2 linked regions of the Notamacropus eugenii genome follow. The protein of the gene in region 1 purifies or fractionates together with the protein of each later gene. This does not show direct contact. Links are inferred from orthologs where the notes say so. Each region holds a gene or a part of one and is shown on either strand. Other genes may lie near its edges.

What was found. Proteins that work in one complex are often made in the same cells at the same time.
Region 2: the proteins of TGFBRAP1 (region 1) and VPS33A purify together in Homo sapiens (co-immunoprecipitation; 5 studies listed by BioGRID and IntAct, with this or other methods). This does not show direct contact. The link is inferred for Notamacropus eugenii from reciprocal best matches to the Homo sapiens genes TGFBRAP1 and VPS33A.

Annotation. Positions count from the first base shown.
Region 1 is NC_092877.1:200,323,820-200,333,692, reverse strand, and holds the start of TGFBRAP1 (transforming growth factor-beta receptor-associated protein 1), read left to right. Parts: upstream 1-5,762; 5' UTR 5,763-5,902; intron 5,903-9,356; exon of another isoform or gene 9,357-9,389; intron 9,390-9,873. UniProt on the Homo sapiens protein: Plays a role in the TGF-beta/activin signaling pathway. It associates with inactive heteromeric TGF-beta and activin receptor complexes, mainly through the type II receptor, and is released upon activation of signaling.
Region 2 is NC_092875.1:37,521,246-37,531,200, reverse strand, and holds the start of VPS33A (vacuolar protein sorting-associated protein 33A), read left to right. Parts: upstream 1-5,532; 5' UTR 5,533-5,727; coding exon 5,728-5,829; intron 5,830-6,260; coding exon 6,261-6,326; intron 6,327-7,006; coding exon 7,007-7,134; intron 7,135-8,785; coding exon 8,786-8,972; intron 8,973-9,955.

The DNA.
Region 1 (9,873 bases):
CCACACAGCTTCGAAATTGATATCCCTAAAGCAAAGGTCTGGCCATGTCACTCCTCTACTTAAGAAACTTCAGTAGCTCCCTGTTGTTTCGAGGATAAAATACAAACGCTTTTTTTGACATTTAAAGCCCTTCACAGTATAGTTGCAATCTATATTTCCAAGATGATTACACAGTTCTATGACTCATGCATTCCATGTTCCAGTCAGACTGGGCCACTTGCTTTTCCACATGCATGACATTTCTCCAATGCCAGTCTTTGCACAAACTGGCTTCCATGCCTGGAATACCCCCCCCACTCTTGCCTCCTGGAGCCAGAAGCTCTTGTCCAGGTACATCTCAAGTGTCACTGTTACAGGAAGCCTTTCTTGTAGTAGTATATCACAAAAATCAAACACTCTGAGCAAGATAGATTTATGAATTCAGAAATTCAGGGTTGGTTTGTATTAGGAAAACTATAAACATAATTTACTATATTGATAACAAAATCAACACAAATCATATGATTACTTCAATAGATGCAGAAAAAGCTTCTGACAAAATATAACAGAAGTATCTATTAAAAATCAAGAGCCAGAATTATCTGTAATTTGGATAAGCTATGAAGCTTTTCCAGTAAGATCAAGGATGAAGCAAAGTTGTCATTTATCACCATTATTATTCATTGTACTTGAAATGCTACTTATAGCACTAAGAAGAGAAAAAGAAATCTAAGGAATAAGCATAGGCAAAGAAAGAACTAAGTTTATCACTTTTTGCAGATGATATGAAAGTTTACTTAGAGAACTCTGAAGCATCAACTAAAAAATTAATTGAAACAATTAACAAAATTATCAGCAAAGTTGCAAGATATAAAATAAACCACACAAATCATTGACAATTCTGTAAATAAGAATAAAATCCAGCAGGAAGAAATAGAAAGAGAAATTCCACTTATGATAAGCAAGGATAGTATAAAACATTTATGAATCTACCTGACAATATACATACAAGAATTATATGAACATAATTACAAAACAATCTTTATACAAATAAAGATCTAAATAATTGGAGAAATATTAATTGCCCATATGTAAGCCAAAACAATTAATAAAAATGACAATACTACCTAAATTAATATATTCAGCGCCACACCAAACTACCAAAGAATTATTTTATAGAGCTAGAAAAAATAACAAAATTCACCGAGAGAAACAAATGGTCATAAATATCTAGGAATTCAATGAAAAAAATGGGAAGGAAATAGTATCACATCTGAAACTCTATTACAAATCTGTAATCACAAAACAATTTGGTCCTGGATAAGAAACAGGGAGGTTGATCTGTGAAACAGATTAGGCATACAATATACAGAAGCAAATGAACATTTTTGTAGTTATTCAATTGCTTTGGTTTTGTCCAACCCCTTGTGATGCCCTACTCCCCTCCCAAAATTAACAAAGCATTATTTGATCCCCTCAAAGATCCCAGCTATTTGGGAACAAGAACTCACAATTCAGCAAAAGTGTTGGGAAAACAGGAAGAATGTCTGGTAGGAAGTAGAGACCAACATCCCATGAAATATATCAAGATGAGCTCAAGATGGGTACATGATTTAAACATAAAGAGTAACATCAAAAGCAAATTAATAGAAAATGGGAATTATTTGTCAAATCTATGGATAAGAGAAGAGGTCATGCTCAAACAAGAGATAAAGAGATTCACAGGAAGTAAAAGGGATGATTTTGATTACATAAAATTAAAAAGTTTTTGTAAAAGCAAAACCAATGCAACTAAAATTAGAAGAAAAGCAGAAAACTGGACCAGGGGATTCTTTGTAGGAAGTGTCTGATAAAAGTCTCATTTCTGAGATACATAGGGAAATTAATTATGTTTATAAGACTAAGAGGCACTCCCCAGTTGACAAATGGTCAAGGGATACAAATTGTTGTTGTGTTCATCCTTTGTTGCCGAAGAAGACCATGCCACCAGAGAAATGATGACATGACTTGCACTTGACTTTGTTTTGAGTGAGGGAGGGTGTGCAAGGTCACCAGTCTCGCTTTTTCCTCCTGAGCCATCTGGATCTAGTGACCAGATGATATTCATCAGGATGACTGGACATGGCCTAGGATGCAGTGGGAGACCTTGGCCCCTTTAGGTATATAAATAGGCAATTTTCAAAGGAATATGTGAAAGGAATATATTCAAAGGAATGTCACATGAAAAAATTTTCTCACTAATAATTAGAGAAATGCAAATGAAAACAACTCTGAGGTACCACCTCATGCCTATCAGATTGGCTAGGTTGACAAAAAAGTATAACAAAAGATGCTAAAGAGGATGTATACTAGGTACACTAATACACTGTTGGTAGAGTTGTAAACTAATTCAAAAATTCTGGAAAGCAATTTGAACCTATGCCTAAAATGCTATTAAATTGCTTATACCCTTTGATCTAGCAGTATTTATATCCCAAAGAGATCCCACAGAGGAGAAGGATCCCTAAAGGACAAAAATACTTATAGCAACTCTTTTTGTGGAGGCGCAGAATTGGAAACTGAGTAGGTGTTCATCAGGTGTTCAGCCAGGAACTGGCTGAACAAATTATGATATATGAATATGATGGAATACTAGTGTGCTGTAAGAGATAATGAAGAGGAAGGTTTTAGAAAAACCTGGGAAGACACATATGAACTGATGCAAAGTGAAGTGGGCAGAACTAGGAGAATAATTTATATAATAACAGTATTGTAAAAAGAACTTTGAAATATTTAGGAATTCTGATTAACACAATGACTAACCACAGTTCCAAAACACACATGATGAAACATGCTGTCCACCACCAGATAGAGAACTGATAGGTTCAAAGTACAAATGGAAGCATATTTTCTTTTCTTTCAAAAAAGAAATTTTTTTGGACATGACTAACGTGAGAATATGTTTTGTATGACTATGTACATTTATAATGGATTTTGCTTTTCTTACCTAATCAATATGTAAAAGAGAAGGAGAAAGGAAAAGAATTTGGAACTGAAAATAAAATAAAATTGAATTTTTTAATTGAATTGTGGTAGTTAGTGCCCCCCTTAGAAACTACTTTGCATGTATTTTGCATAGGTTTTTTTATTTACCTAAGTGTGTGTATATTTACTTATCTGTCCATAGAAACAACTTGGCCACAAGGACTTTTTAATGTTATCTTTGGTTCCCTAACCAAACCTGGCACATAGTAGGAACTTAGTAATTGCTTGTTGATTAATAAAATGCTTATTGAATTGATTATTGTTCAGCAGTTAGCTATTCAATATCAAAGGTGGGTTTTGAAACAGCATGTAGACCTGACAACTAATTATTAAATTAGTTTATATGGTAGCATTTATTTAATAGCCTGAAATTTGTTTAATCATCAGTCTCTTAGTTTACATCTCTTTCTTGCTCTGAAAAATCCCAAACAAGTCTAGTGGAGCCCATCTCCTAATGGATGTCTGGATGTTTTATTCAGGACTCATTTCTAACCCTATATATATTAATAAATGGACTGATTTATAAATTTGGTTGACATATGTTGTCAGTTTCAGTGAAGGAGATAGAAAAGGAAGCCAGGTTTCTAGGGACTGAGAAATGAGTGGGTGGCAAAAAAAAAAAAAAGTGGAGACAGCCAAGTATAGACTACTCTCTTTGGAAATTTAGCAGTGAATGGATAGGGACATATATGATAATAACTTAAGGAAGTGGCAGAGTCAGTGTTAGAGTTGTTTGTTTTGTTTTTTCAGATAAAGAAGACCTGAGCATTGCAGGAACAGCATTGTAGACTATATAAAGCAGTAACACTGGCACTGCTTCTGCCTTCTAATAGCAGATAAATGAAAATACATCATGAAAGCATTTGTATGTACCTATACAGGCAGGATAGCTATACAGCTGTTCTAAATTAGTCCCCTACTACATCCGTAGTCATGGACCTATATCTTACCACTGGACTCCAATGACTTCTGGGGGGAGAGGGAGGTTGATGATTTTGCACAGCTCTGCCTCACTTTGGGGGTGGGTATATGTGTGAAATGTCATTTTGCTTCCATTTAGGGAAGAATTCCTCAAGGAATGTGGGGTTTTAGGAGTATGAGAAGGGCATGGCATTTATTGATTAGTTGGTAGGCAGGGGAAGATGGAACAAAGTAGGCTCACTTGGCCCTTAGGCTTTACTGATAAGAGTTAGAGGACAGATAAAGTCATTTACCAACAGAGAAGTGTTTTGCCTCCTAGAGTGGACGTTGCTTTTGCCAGGAGTATCTCTCCTGATTATGATGACCAAGGTTGGCTTGGAAAGAGAAATGGGACACTAAGGGTATGGAACGCTACATATACTGTCAGATTCCACTAAAGTGTTGGTTAGTTTTACCAAACTGTTTTTCCCTCTGGCTTTTTTATTGTTATAAGGGATGGCTCCTTGGGTGATGGTGGGGAAAGAATATTTGGAAATGAAGGTCTTATTAAACTAAGTTTTCCCTCTTTTTTATTGTTATAAGGGATGGCTTCCTGGATAGAGGTGGGGGGCTCATATATTTGGAAATGAAGGTAATGAAAGAAATATGGCAAAATTTCTAAAAATTAAGAGTACACTCTTCTGACCATACTGAATTTCTTTCAGGCATCTATCTTTGTTACTCTGAGTTAAACTCTCCAGAAAGCAATGAATTTGCCTTCCCTCCCCTACAGAGAAACTCAGCATTTGTGGGGAGGTAGAGATGGGGATGACTAGGGAGAGGGCCAAAGAAATGACTTGCAGTCAAGAGCAGCTTTACGTCTTATGTCTAGAAGACTAACCAGAAAGGGCAATGCTTGACCCAGGGGAATAAATCTCTCACGGCATCTTGAGCCACTGGGAAGAAAAAGATTTGGGGTTAAGGTGTACCTTCCTAGAACTCAACTTTCCACAGAACCTTGAAGGTCCTTCCAAGTATTAGGAACCTTCCCTCACTTCATTTCCCCCACACTCCTTTTTGCCCTGGGTTAAAGTGGATGGGAGTGGGAAGCAAGGGGGAGGAAGGAGAAGAGAGAGCAAAGAGGATAGGAAGGACAGATAAAGGAAGAATAAAAGGGAAGTGGGGAGACAGGGGGGAGAGAGAGACAGAGAGAGACAGGGAGAGAGAGGGAGAGAGGGAGGGGGGGAAGGGAGAAACAGAGAGGGAGAGGGAGAGAGAGAGAGGAGAGGGAGGGAGAAAGAGGAGAGGGAGGGAGAAGGAAAGAGAGAGAGAGAGAGAGAGAGAGAGAGAGAGAGAGAGAGAGACGGAGAGGGAGGGAGAGAGAGGGAGAGAGAGAGGGAGGGAAGGAGGGAGGAAGGGAGGGAGGGAGGGAGAGGGAGAGGGGGGAGAGAGGGAGGGAGGGAGGGAGAGGGAGAGGGGGGAGAGAGGGAGCTGGGGGAGGCGGGGCCTCCGAGGACACCTGCCCGGCTGCGCTCCGGCGCTCGCAGCTCCAGGCACAGAGAGCACGCCCAGGTACCGGCGCCCTCACGCCCACTCCCACCCGAAGGACAGCTCAGGCCCTCCCCCAGCCCCCTCCATGACCCTCATCCTCAGCCGCGGGGAGGGGGTCGAGCGCGCCGGCCGGATGATCGGGCGCCCCTCTCGGCCCCTGTCAATCAGAGGCGGAGGCCGCCGTCCTGCCGCGCTCCGGGGCGGGCCCCCACGTGACGGGAAGCGGCGGCGGGGCCCGGACGGAGCCCCTGGGGGAGCTGCGGAGCCAACCCGGAGCCGGGCCGGGCGGGGCCGAGCCGGGCGGAGGGCGCGTGTGCGGGGCCCAGCAGTCCCGGGCCTCGGCGGCCGCCGCAGCCGCAGCCGTGAGCGGGAGGCTGGGCGCAGGAGCGGCGGCGGAAGGCGGCTCGGGGCGGAGCGGACCGAGGAGGCCCGGGCTGGGCGAGCGCGGGTGAGGAGGGGGCTGCGGCGGGGAGGCCGCGGGGCTGCGGGCGGGCCGGGCTGTCACAGCGCTGAGGCGGGGCGGCCGGGCGGGTGGAGGGCGGCCGGGGCTCTGGCGTGCGTGCGTGCGGGTGTGTGTGTGTGTGTGTGTGTGTGTGTGTGTGTGTGTGTGTGTGTGTGTGTGTGTGTGTGTGTGTGTGTGTGTGTGTGTGTGTGTGTGTGTGTGTGTGTGTGTATGCGTGTATGTGTGCGGGGGTATCCTGGGGTGGGGGGGGTATCGTGCGTGCGTGCGTATGTGGTGTCCTGGTGTGTGTGTGTGCGCGTGCGTGTGTGTATGCGTGTATGTGTGCGGGGTATCCTGGTGTGTGTGCGTGTGTATGCGGATGTGTGTGTAAGTGAAATTTAGGAGGGTGGGATTCAGGGTGTGATCTTGTGGTGTGTATGTGTGGGGCTGTGTGTGTGATTTAGGGTGGTACGGCGTATGTATGTGCGCGTGTGTTAGGTTAGGGGCTGTATGTGGTTCAGGAGGTTGGGACTCTGTGTGTGTGTGTGGTGGAGGGGGATGGTCCTCTGCATGTTTTTTTGTGTATGTGTGTGTTAGGTTGGGGGTGTGGTTAGGAGGATGGGACTCTGTGTGTGGGGGGGCAGTTAGAAGGATGGGACCCTGGATATCTGTGTGTTTGGGGGATAGGGGAAAGATCCTGGAGACTCATTGCTTGATTTGAAGTGGAGGTTGAATACTTTCAAGACGAGGAAAGAGAATGAAGAGACCCTATCAGGGTCTCTTTCCTCTATCCCTAAGGCTGTTTGGGAGCAAGGAAGCAAGTGTATATGAACCATAAGTTGTTCCTAGGCATCTTGAAGTTTTAGAATATTTAAGGTTTATCTTTGTCCCAATGGGCAAGAGAACCTCATGGATGAAAAGATAGCAAGTCCAGTGTTGAATTAAAATGGATGGTTTTTGAGGATTGAAGAGCTCAAAGCCAGAATCCTGAGAGATTTTTCCCATGTTGCCAGTTGAGGTGCAAGTGGTGAGTTAGTTTTCACTTGTAGTTGATACTACCTCCTCTTGAGTACAGGAAGCTTTCCATGAATATGGACAGAAGGCTTAGTTTTCAGGCATCTGTACTTGTCAACACGGTAGCCAGCACTGTATGGAATCTCCTTTAGCAGCATTCGTTCACAAAGCTACCAGGGCCTGTGGATTACCTGCTGCCCACTAGGATTCCATGGAGTCATCATTAATGTTAGAAGAAGGCATTTAGTTTTGTAGGTTGAAAATTTAACTGAGTAAGGGGTTAATCACTGTTGAAATTGCTGCACTGTGAGAAGCTTCATCTCTTTGTTTTCAGGGAGGTCAGCATGTTGGCATTATTGTATTTGTCAGATTAATGCATTGATAAATCATGTGTGTGAGTATAATAGCACTATAATATGAGATGTTTCATTTGTAGGTCAGAATTGATGTCTGAGAACTGGCTCTCAGCCCAAATGAAGCCTGATGTTGAGGCCCACGACTCATTTGTAATTTATGTGCTTCCTCTCTCATAGTTAGACCAAAACCATCTGAGCTTTACTACAAAACCTGGGGAGAAAACATTTGGACGGTTTTTGTCCTTTCCCCTTCCTTTTCTGCTTGCTGAGTCTACTTCCTTTGCCTCTTCTCTCCAAAACACTCAGTGAAGCCAGTCTTTTTTGGCTCAGCATTTTTTTTTTTTTAGCAGCTGCAGTGGTGTGGAAAGAGCATTGGTTTAGGAAATCAGAGACTTGAGTTTTAACACTAATTCTTAGGCTAACTACATTGACCTTGGAAAAATTCAGTTGATCTTTTGGGCCACTTTTCATTATGTTTGAAGTTAGGAAATTGAAAGACCTCTCAATTTCCTTCCAGCACAAAACTTCTTCGATTCTGTGTGCTTTGAGTGCTGTCTTTGATAATAAAAGATGGGTGGGTGTTTCAGAGTAAGTTCACTTGTGGATTCTCTAGCCTGATTTCTGTTTAGGCAGTGGTAAGTTGGAATAGAAAATATAACAACATACTTAGCTTTCATTCATTCTTCTGTGTCATTTTCAGTCATGTATTTATTTCTGCAATAGTTTTTGTTCAACTTTAAGGTATTGTTATTATTAGAGATCATCTAACTTGACCTCTTATTCAAGGCTCAAATCCTTCTTAATAGTGGTTCAGTCTCTGCTTAAATATGTCCAGTCAGAGGATACTCAATACCTTTAAAGTGATTTGTTTCATTGTTGGGTAGCTTTAGTCACTGAATTCTTTGAAAATGAACAGAAACTATTACTCTTTTAAAATGCTACAACATCAAATTCCAATGTTCTACTGGCCCCTTTATTGAAGGGAACTGAAGTCCAAATATATTTAAAAGGTTTTTTAATAGACCCCCTTCTGCTTGTATTAAGAATTTAAGATTCTCTTAAAGGAAACTCTAGGTATTTTACTTAATGAGTTTAAGCCTTTTCATCTTGGTTAGAATCCAGTTCTCGTTAGAAATACATTAAAGTAATTATTTTCTGGAGCCAGGTGTTTGAAAGATATTCAGTAATTTGGCCCATACTTTCAACCCATTTCCTCTGTGGCAAGCCTGACCAGTTTTTCTTTATTAAAACAAACAGACAAAAGAAACACTCAAAAAAAACCCAACCCAAATCAAACAAACCCTGCAGAACTGCATGAATGTAGAATAATTTATATTGGCTAAGGTTTTCTAATGTTAAATATTAATACAAAATTTACTCTGTCTTACATAAGAAAAAGCTAAACCCTGGTTTCAAAATATAAAAGTACCATGAAACTGAGATACTTCCTTAATAGCATAATCTAAAGTAGCTAATTCATTAACTGTTAAAATTGTAGCTTGAAAAAGGGTACACAATTATTTTGGAAATCTGACACTGAGGGAAGTACTGTTTATTAAATATTCTGTTCTAAAGATTCCATCCACCCTTATAAGCTGATCTTTCTTGGACTGGTATTAACAGATCAGAATCTAAACTGGATTTACCCAGATTAAAAAAAATTACATTTGGGAACATCATACAAACTTTGAAATTACAATTGTACACATAGGTTATATACTATTTGCAACAGCATCTTTAAATGAGGATACTAAATATATATAACATGGTTATTTCTTTATATCCTTACAGATAGTTGGAACAGCTCTTCTTCCACTTTAGTGAACTCTTTTGTTTGTTAGAATATAGGGAGACTGTGAATAATGTTCAGATAGTGCCATTTTTATGGGGAAATAAATAGGGGAAAAGAATAGATTCTGGGAAACACAGATAAAACTTTGATGAGAAAATAATAGTAACAGCTAGCATTTACATAGTACTGTAAGGTTTTCATGTGCTTTATATGTTATCCCACTTAATCCTTACAACAACCTCTAAGATAGATGGTGTAATTTTCTCCATTTTACAGATGAGGAGACTGAGCCTGAGAGAGGTGGAGTGACTTATCCAGGGTCATACAGAGAGTAAGTGTCTTGAGACAGGATTTAAACTCAGGTCTTCCCAACTCCAGCATTCTATCATTGTGCCACCTAGATGTCCAGAGAGTTCTAGAGTAAATTATTAAACAGATGTTTTATGAGAACTTAGAAACAGAGTTGGGCGCTAGGAACCAATATGGGCTCAGTAAGAATGTTATGCCAAACCAACGTCAGTTTCCTTTTTGATAAAGTCGCTAAATTAAAAGACCATGGGAATGCCCAAGATCTGGTATCTTTTTTTTTTAAATTTAACTTTTTTTGGCTACATTTTAAGTTCCAAACTTTCTCTCCCTCCTCCCCCAGAAGGCCACCATTTCACTCACATACATACACACACACAGACACACAAATTTGCATCCACACACACACACGTGTGTGTGTATGTATGTGTGTGTGTGTGTGTGTGTGTATAAAATCTTACTCATACTTCTGTTTATCACTTCTTTTCTGGAGGTAGATAGTGTCTTCC
Region 2 (9,955 bases), on another chromosome or scaffold:
ACTTATTTGCCCATCTTCAAAGTTGTTGTACCACTTCCATTTTCCATAACCTTTCAGATATTACTGATAGACAGATGGCAACAGTCAAATCTATCAAGGTCCATGGATATAGTTCATCTGGGCCAGGTGACTTAGCCAGGGATGATGTAGATGCTCACTATCCCTTAATTTATCTTGGATATCAAATCCTTACTGGTCATCTTTGTTCTGCCATTTCTGGTACAGGGTCATTTCAGTTCCTATGTTTGGTGCCAAAGGCCTCTTCAAATGATTGATCATGTGACAAATCAATAGCCCACGCTAAAGAAGGGATAAGAAGCAAACCACACCTAAGACTTCCATGTCAAGATGGGATGGTAATAGTCACTCTAAAGCTGAGGCCATGCAGCCAAAGACGGTGGGAATAGGAGGGAAGGCTATAGAAGCTCCCAAGACTACTTTCTAGCTTTTACGTTTTGTACAAGAAAAATTATATATCTGATCTTATTGCCAATACTTACACAGCACTTGCAGGTTTGCTAAGTGCTTTACAAATATTATCTTATCTGATCCTCACAACATCCGTGGGAAGCTGAAAGATGCTAAATAAACAATGTGCCCAAAGTCACATGGCTAGTCTTTCTGGGGCAGAATTCGAACTCAGTTTTTCCTGAGTCCAGATCTTGTGCCCTATCTACTATGCCACCCAGCTGCTTCCTGAAATGTGGTAGAGGCATTCCTGTTTTTTGGCAATTCGGTCTGCTACCTCCACTTCCTGATCCATGCTCTGGGATTTCGGAACATCCTTAATTGTTTGAGAGGGAAAAGAAGCAAGGGTTAGGATGCTTCTTCCTCATCCTCCCTTACGTCTGTCTCTGTAAGGTATCATAGAGGGATATATAAATGTTCTTATCTGTAATTCCATGGGCTAGCCACAAACGATGGTTGATGTTAAAGATGAAAGCAAAATAGCTGAGAAACCATTAACACTACATACCATATACACCAAAATATTTACAGCAGCATGCACTTTTTGTGGTAGCAAAGAATTGGAAACAAAGTAGATGCCCATCATTTGGGGGAATGGCCAAACTGTGGTTGAATATAAGAGAATATTACTGTACTCTAAGAAATAATGTGTGATGAATTATAAAGCATGGAATAAGATATATAAGCTGATGTACAGTTAGAAAGCCAAGGAAACACTGCACACTGACTACAGCAATGTAAATTGAAAGAACCATCTAGCAAAAAATCAAGTGATTCTAGCAAAATTGCGTAGCTCCAGCAAAGACTCAAAGAGACAGGAGAAACACTTCCCCACCCACTTGTTCACTGAGTGAGGTTCACAGGTGGTGCACACAAGCATGTTGTGGGACTTTTTCACTCTACTCATAATATGTTGTACTGATTTCTCTCTGTCTCTTCACCACCTTCCAACAGTATCTGTTACATAGGATGGCTCTCTGGAAGGAGACAGGGGAGAGAGATTCTGTGAAAAACTAGACAGCAATAAAAAATTATTTTAAAAAATCTACACAGCATAGACTAACCAACTAATATGGACATGAGATCAGTCTAAATTGCCTGGCCTTTGCTAGGAGGATGGCATTAGATGCGCAGGTGGCCATGAGCTTGAACAAAGATGATAAAAGTTTGTTCATAGCTTTAATTTAATTAAACTGCTGACCCAGAAAGCAGAGGTGTCAAACTTAGGATCAGCAAAAACTTGAGTATAGCCTGAAATAAGTCAAAATGTAATTGGGAAATGTTAAAAATAAATAAAAATACAACATAGATAACAATCATTTGTGGTTTTCTAAGTTGGTCCTCATGCAGGCAGCAGAGATTCTATTTGAGTTTCATACCACTTGTCTAGACTAGAGCACTCTGGATACTGGGAATGTTAATATTCATGAAGGCTTAGCACTTCAGATCTGTAAGAGGGGTTAAAAAGGACTAGAATCGGATCTAACACACCCATCAAATACTGCGAGATAGCTATCATGCCTCCACTAAGGGATATTTTGCAGACCAAATGTGCTCATTTCTTTCAGCTGATCTCATGGAATCATCTCTGGTCTTTCCCCATACCTGGAATGTACTCTCTCCTTACCTCCTCCTCATGGAATCCTCTCTTCCTTTAAGAAACAGTTCTGGGGGCAGCTAGGTGGTGAAGTGGATTGAACACTGGCCCTGAAATCAGGAGGATCTGAGTTCAAAAATGGCCTCAGACAGACACGTGATACTAGCTAGCTGTGTGAACCTAAGAACATTATGACTATTAGAACATAAGCCCCTTGAAAGTAGCCACAGTTTTCATTCTTTCTATTTGCAGCCCTGGTGCCTAGCATGGAGTAGGCTCTTGATGCTGGTGGGACTCTGGATGCTGGATCCACTTTATTTGTGTCCTGAAACATCAGGGTCCAAAACTGAAAACAACACAACTTGTTTATTCCTGCCTGAAAGATCTCTCTCTCAACACAGCCCAGGATCTTACCTTTTGGGGGCTGCTTGCTTAGTGTTCACATTACAATCCACCACAAACTGCTATTTAGCCATGCCTCCATCTTGCACTTGTAAGTTGATTTTTTTGAACCTAGGGAGAAGACTTTACATTTATCCCTCCCTATCTTTTTTGATCTAGTTCTGATGCTAGACAGTCAAGTTCTTTTGGGCTTCTGACTCATCTACCTATTACAGCTATATATGGCACCAGCAAGTTTGATGTTTTCTACACATTTATCCAAATCACTCATCAAAGTCTTAAATAGCACAGGGCCAAACAGAGAGATCCCTGGGGCCTGACACTGGAAATCTTCACCCAGTGCTGAACCATCTGATTGCTTACTAGTCCACTCCTCTTCATCTTTTCCACAAGAATAGTATGTGATACTTCATCAAGTGCTTTGCTAAAATCTAGGCAAACTATATTAAATTCTCCTGACTGACTAATTAAAAAACCCTGTCCAAAAAAAGAGATTACTTTGCTAGGACCCACTCTTGATAAAGGCAACTCTGGCTTTTTGTTACAACCACTTTCTTTGCTAGTGGTCTTGCCACTGGACTCATAACTCTGGAGACAGGGAGGCTGAGGACCTTGCATAGCTTTACCTCACTTAAATCTGATTCATGAGCAAGTGAAGACATTAGATGTCATCAGTTCTCTTGCAGAATGAAGTACAAACAGCAACCAGACTGAAGGGAATGATGGATATAGTTGACCTAGAAGCTTCTGATAAACGTTTTCATACTGTCCTTGTGCAGAAGATGGAAAGATAGAGATGGGACAATAATCAGGTAAATTTAGAACTTGCTGGATGGCCAGATTTAAGAATAGCTAGTGGTAGAATATTCCAGAAACCTGTGCTTGTTCTGCTGTTATTTCTTATTTGTATCAGTGACTTGGATAAAGGCATGAAGTTCACCAAACAGGCAGAGGACTCCAATATGGGAAGGACAGATAAGATCCAAATGGATCTTGAGAGGATAAAGCAGCACTTCTTAAATTGTGGGTCATGACCCCATGTGGGGTCTAGAAAATTTTGCCAACAATAAAAGGTTTCTGAATGCAAAATGACCAAAATTAATTTAAAAAAATCAAACGTCATGAATCTGAGGTATTTCTGGCAGTGTCTACTGTCAAATTCACAGGTACAAGATGGAGGATGGGTGGGAAGGAGGCACAACGGCTCATCCCTTATGCTGAAAAAGACTTGGGAGATTTAGTGGAGTGCAAGCTCCTCATAAGTCAGTAGTATGGTGGGCATCACCAAAAATACTAATGGGATCTTATGCTGCATTGAGAAGGGCACCATTTCCAGGAATGGTGAAGTGAGAGCCCCACTGAACTCTCTGTCTCTGTCAGACCTCATAGGTAGTTAGTTGTATGTGTAGTTCTAAACATCAGTTTCAGAAGGACATTGATGAACCAGAGAAGAGTCCAAATAAGGGTAAGTGGAATGGTGAAGAGTTATGAGGATGGGTTGAAGGAACTGGGTTCTTTAGCCTAGAAAAGATGCAGAGGGGGAATATGATAGTTATCTTCAAGCATCTGAAAGGCTGTCATGTGCAGGAAGGATTAGATTTCTTCTACTGGCTCCAGACGAGGGAATCACTCTAAATCTGTGATCCCATTATCTTAGAGAACAACTGTTGAAATAAGTGGATTTTGGTACAAATTGAACACTTCTGCTAACGTAGATTTCAAAATAGGTTTTATAGGGTTTTTCAGTACTAGTTGAACACTTCTGCTAATGTAGATTTCAAAATAGGGTTTTCTAACTAAAATGAAAAAATCTAACATGGAAATTAAAAAGAATAAGCCAGTGTTCATGAGATCATAACATTTAGGACTAGGAGGGCTCAGAAGTCACTCATTGGACTCTTTCATTTTACAAATGAGAACAGAGAGAATTGTGGTGACATGCCCAAGGTCACACAGGGCGTTTTCCAGATTCTACCAAATCTTGTGGGTAATCTCCAACTCTCCTTTACTGTTTCCCAAAGTTTCATCTTTATAAAGAAATGCTTGTCACAAAATTTAAAATAGGACAATACAGCAGAACTGTTCCAGCTTCAGTAAAATCCAGTGTACGACTCTTTGGTGACTCCATCCCTCAGTGGGACCAGGATGAGCCTGTTCTGTAGAGGGAAACAAGGCTAATGGCCAGCCTGAGGACCTTCTTCCTCTCTGAGAGGCTCATGGCCCCAAAACACAGGGCTGGTTGTTCTGTCTTTCTGTCTGTCCTGGCGCATCCAACCTGTGCTCCCAGATCCTGACAGCAGCTGCGTTCCAGGGCCTGGATTCCCAGCTCTTTGTGGCAGCCACCCTGGTACCTACAATCCGGGACTGACACCAGCTTCTCCGTCCCCTCCTCTCCAGTCACGTCACGTCCAGACACGAATTTAATGGGACCGAGGTTAGGTGGGTAGACGGAGAAACTCAAGCGCGCGGAAAGCAACCTTTCCAAAGAGGCGCAGGTAGCAAGGGCAGGGCCTCCCACAGCGAAGCCGCAGACGGAGGCCTTAGGCCTTTTTTACACTTTGAACCTAGGGAAAAGGTGGCGGCTGGAGTCAGGCGGCCCGAGTTCAAATCCTGCCGCGGACGCTTCGCAGCCGCGGGATCCGCCCTGTCTGCCTCAGTTTCCTCGGCTGGAAAGAGGGGGCGGCAGTGGCGTGCTCCCGGCGGGGCTCTCCGCGGGCACCCATCTGGAGGCGGGATTCCTCCTTCCCCCTCACTTCCGGGGCACGCCCATCGGCAGGCCACGTGACGCCCGGCCCCGCTCCCTGCTGGGACTGACGGGAGGCTGGCGGGGGCTGCACGTGCACGGCCTCGCTAGACAGGAGAGGAAACTGAGGCCCAGAGGTTCCCAGGCGTGTTACGTCAGGCTCCCGAAGCGCTTGATGCCTCGCACTTCCGCCGCTTCCCTGGAGACCCCCCGGGCAGGACGCTGGGAGGGGGGAAAAGAAACCAGGGTTCAGGAACAGCCGTGACTCGGCCTCCGCCTCGGAGCTCCCGGGAGGGAGGGGGCCGCCCCGGAACACGCAGGGGCTGCCGGGAGCCGATGCGCGCTCCCCGTGCGCATGCTCAGAGGCGGTGGCGCCCCTGTGGCCCGGGCATTTCCGGCTCCGCCTGTCGCGCGTCACGTGCGCGGAGGCGCGATCAGCTGACTGCTGCTTCGGTGCGCGCTGAGGGCCGTCGGGCGCGGGGAGGGGAGGGGAGGACAGGGGAGGTGCCGCTGCAGGATGGCGGCTCACCTGTCCTACGGGCGTGTGAACCTGAACGTGCTGCGCGAGGCGGTGCGGAGGGAGCTGCGCGAGTTCCTGGACAAGTGCGCGGGCAGCAAGGTGAGGCCCGGGCGGGCGCGGAGGGGAAACTGAGGACCCCGAGGTCATGGGCATGCCTTCCCCCGAAGCTTCTCGACATCCTTCGGCTTCTGACCGACAGCACTAACGGGGGTGGGGGGGCCGGGCGGGTGCCCTAGGCCGGCCCGCCGCCAGGTGCACCATTGTCAGAGCCTTCGCGATAAGCGCTTTTCCCAGGGCGTCTGGTGCAAACAGGACCCCAAGGGTTTTGAGTCCGACGAAATTGGGCCCGGGCGGGAGGACGCAGAACACCCATGTGACGCCGGTAGAATTTTGGGTGGTTGTTGAGAGCTTAAACCTGTGACGTTTGCAGCAGGTGTTTGCCTCCCTTCTTGGGGCCCAGACCGGCCTTCCGGGGGCCTGCCGGCCGCCCCCAGCGCTTCCCAGGTGGTCACTGACTCTACTCTTTGCAGGCCATAGTTTGGGATGAACACCTCACGGGGCCCTTTGGGCTGATCGCGCAGTACTCGCTGTTGAAGGTAAAGAAGATAGAGTGGGGGGCAGGGGCAGGGGCTGGGACAGGGTCAGGGTCAGGGGCTGGGGCTGGGGCAGGGGCAGGGGCTGGGACAGGGGCAGGGGCAGGGAATGGGGCTGGCGCTGGGGCAGGGGCAGGGAATGGGGCTGGCGCTGGCCTCCTGGGGCAGGGGCAGGGGCTGGGGCAGGGGCTGGCCTCCTGTGTGAACTCCTGGAGCTGTCACTTTGAGACCCCTCTGTGACTGGAGGTGCTGATGCAGCTCATATCCAGCCTCATCCTTTCTAACCATCACACACATGTCCTGCATATTATGATTTGTTATTGTCTCCTTGAGCTGTGTCCCACTCACCGTGACCCCGTTCCTGGAGTGGTTTGCTCTTTCTTACTTCAGCTCATCTTACAGTTGAGGAAACTGAGGCAAGCGGTGAAGTGACTTGCTCAGAGTCACCCAGCTAGGAAGCGTCAGAGGCTGGATTTGAACTCAAGAAGAGGAGTCTTCTTGACTGTAGGCCCAGTGCTCTCTGCACTGTGATGCCACCTAGCTCCCCTTTTTTCTCGGTACTTTACAATTACACCTATATGGTGCTAAGCTCCTTAAAAGCAAGTGCTTTTTTAAGTGTTTGATGAATTGAATGTTCAATTTCAAATCCACGTCTTCAGTTACAACTTTTGTCTTTTCCACAGGAACATGAGGTGGAAAAAATGTTCACACTTAAAGGAAGTCGACTGCCTGCAGCTGATGTCAAGAACATTATTTTTTTTGTCAGACCCAGGCTAGAATTGATGGATATAATTGCTGAAAATGTACTCAGGTATCTAAGGAGGAAAAATCTTAAATTTATTTAAAACTAAAATGGTGTTTAATTCTTACATTCCAGCTTTTGAAGAAGAGTGTGGATGGAGTATGGATTACATTCAGAATGTGAGGTGGCTGTCATAGAAAAATGGATAGGGTGGAAGGGTGGCCAGGCTAGAAGAGAACTGAGCCTAGAACGTTAGAGCTGGGAACTTTTGCTACTGGGAATGCCTAGAATGTTAGAGATGGACATTAGGGGTCATCTAGTACAACTCCCTCACTGCATCGATCAGGAGATTCTTGGAGGAAAACCTTCAGTGGGGGAAGTAGTACCATAGGCTATAGTTGGCAAGGACCTTGGAGGGTGTCCAGTCCAACCTCCAGAAGCAGGATTTGAATCTAGAGCCTCCTGCTTGATCTGAAGCCAGGGCTTTAGGGTCTCTGTCCCATGCTGCCTCCTCAACAAGGCATTAAGTAGGAAATAGTAAATTGGGCCCTCTGTGTGGCCCCTTTTAAAGGTATGAGGCAGGCTCTCCTGGGCCGACTAGGGGTTGGGCAGGGGCAAAAGGAGGAGGAAAGATGAATCTGTCGACTGAAAGGAACCTTCCACGAGGACCTAAAAGATCAGATTACAAGATTTAGAGTTGGAAGGGACATTGGTGAGCCAGCGCCCTCATCGAAAGTCCAGAGGAGGAGCCTGAGACCCAGGGCACTTAAAACACTTTCAAGGCCACTGGGAGGCAGAGCACTCTTGCCCAGATCCCGTGTTGTATTTGTTTCCTAAACCCAGTCTGCCCTTTTAGAGGAAATGAGGCTCTACTTATGTTTCACAAGAGAAAGTAAGCAAAGCATTTCTAGAGCAAAAATGAGATCCTCCTGTTTACAGAGGCTTCCCTGTAGCCCTTGGGATACTGGGCTGATCTCTTTCATGGGGAGGAATAATAATTTTGACGGAGACAGTGATATCCCTGCTCCGTAGATCAGGGGCTGTTTTTCATTCTGTTCTCACAGGACCACGCACATCACAGACCCTTGGTCAACACTGATTTAACTGAATGTTAACATGTATTGGGAGTCATCAGTTGGAAAAAAGGAAAGGAGAACACAGAAGGAAGGAATCTTTCAGAGGCTTGCTGAATAGTTTAATCAGAGGCTCCCTCTAGTTACAACATCGTTGATTAGTTGGATTTACTGCTACATTAAATCAAGCACGTTAGTGTCACAAAGTGTAACATAAAGCGTTTAAAAGAGGATTTCAGTGTGGTTGTTATCAAGAGGAAAGGGAAGGGAATAAGCATTTATTTAATTTAAGCATTTATTTAATTTAAGCATTTATTAAGCACCTCCTGTGTGTCTTTAAAAACATGTCACTTTATTTTCACAACCCTGAGTGGTAGGTGCTGTTATTATCCCCATTTTATAATTGAGAAACTGAGGCAGGTGGGTTAATTGACTTGCCCAGGATCACATAGCTAGTAAGTGTTTGAACTCAGGTCTTCCAGGCTCCAGGCTAGGTACTCTGTGGGCTGTAGCATCCCCAGCTGCCTCCAAGACCACATCTCTATTTATGTGCCTGTGTTCTTTTTCCATGAGAAAACTCAATGCCAGTGCCTTGAGCCATTTGTCTTTGAGACAATAAATACCACAAACATCATGTTCCTTTCTAGTGAAGATAGGCGCTCCCCTGCCAGAGATTTCCACATTTTGTTTGTCCCACGCCGGAGCTTGTTGTGTGAGCAGCGTCTGAAGGATCAGGGAGTTCTGGGATCCTTTATTCACAGAGAAGAGTACAGCCTTGACCTCATTCCGTTTGATGGTGACTTGCTGTCCATGGAGTCTGAGAGTGCTTTTAAAGTAAGTGTGGAGCATCTTTGTTAAAGGAAAAGCAGTAACATTCTCACTTTATGTATCAACTTTGATCTCATACCTTGAAAGGTTGTTACCAATCAGGTATTATTATTTATTAGTTTTAGTTATCATTTTTTCCTACATGAAAGAGATTTTCTGATGTTTAAAAAGGAAATGATGTGGTTTAAGGGGTTCAGGGACCCCTCAAGGACTGAAGTATAAGAGATGGTCATCTGAAAGGAATTCACTGACTCAAGCATTCTTTAAGTCAAGGTGGCAAAGGTTTATTGTAATGCCAATATGATAAATATCAGAGCACCTTAAGGAACTTGCCACTTAACAGGAATGATGCTAAGGCTTACATAGGAAAAGCAGTGGATTATCTGTCAGGTGTACTAATTAGGCGACAATTTACAACTTTAGTCACAGGTTTCATTCACTACTGCAAACCAGGGGAAGGGGTTTCTAAGGGGTGTGTTTTGGTTTGTTACATCTGTAGCAGGATAGCTTTGAGAGTATAGCTTGACCTCTGGTTTGTATATAATAAATAACTTTGGGAATCAATACATGATAACTCTGTGGTTACAAGACAGTTCTGTTTTGCAAGAGAATTTCTTCAGAAGCCAGCTTGTTCTTGTGATGGGGAAAGGTAGTTTGTTATACTGGGGCCTACTTATGAGTAATTGTGGGGAAAGGTAGTTTGTCTTACTGGGGCCCACTCATGAGTTATTGGTAGGCAGACTGTCCTTGGGCTGGGAAGAAAGCTGTCAGGGATTGTGTTTTGAAGCTAGGGAGAGATGTGATCTTGAAACTGGCCTCTGAGCACAAGCACCCCATTAGTAACTTCCCTCAGGGTGCAAGAAAAATATAGAAGTTCTTACAGAACCAAGAGGGTCCAGATAGCTGTAAGATCATTGGAAGAGCTGCTGGAGAAAGGGAGAGGACAGGAATGCTCAGGGGAGGGCAGGCCGAAGGGCTCCAGTGCATGC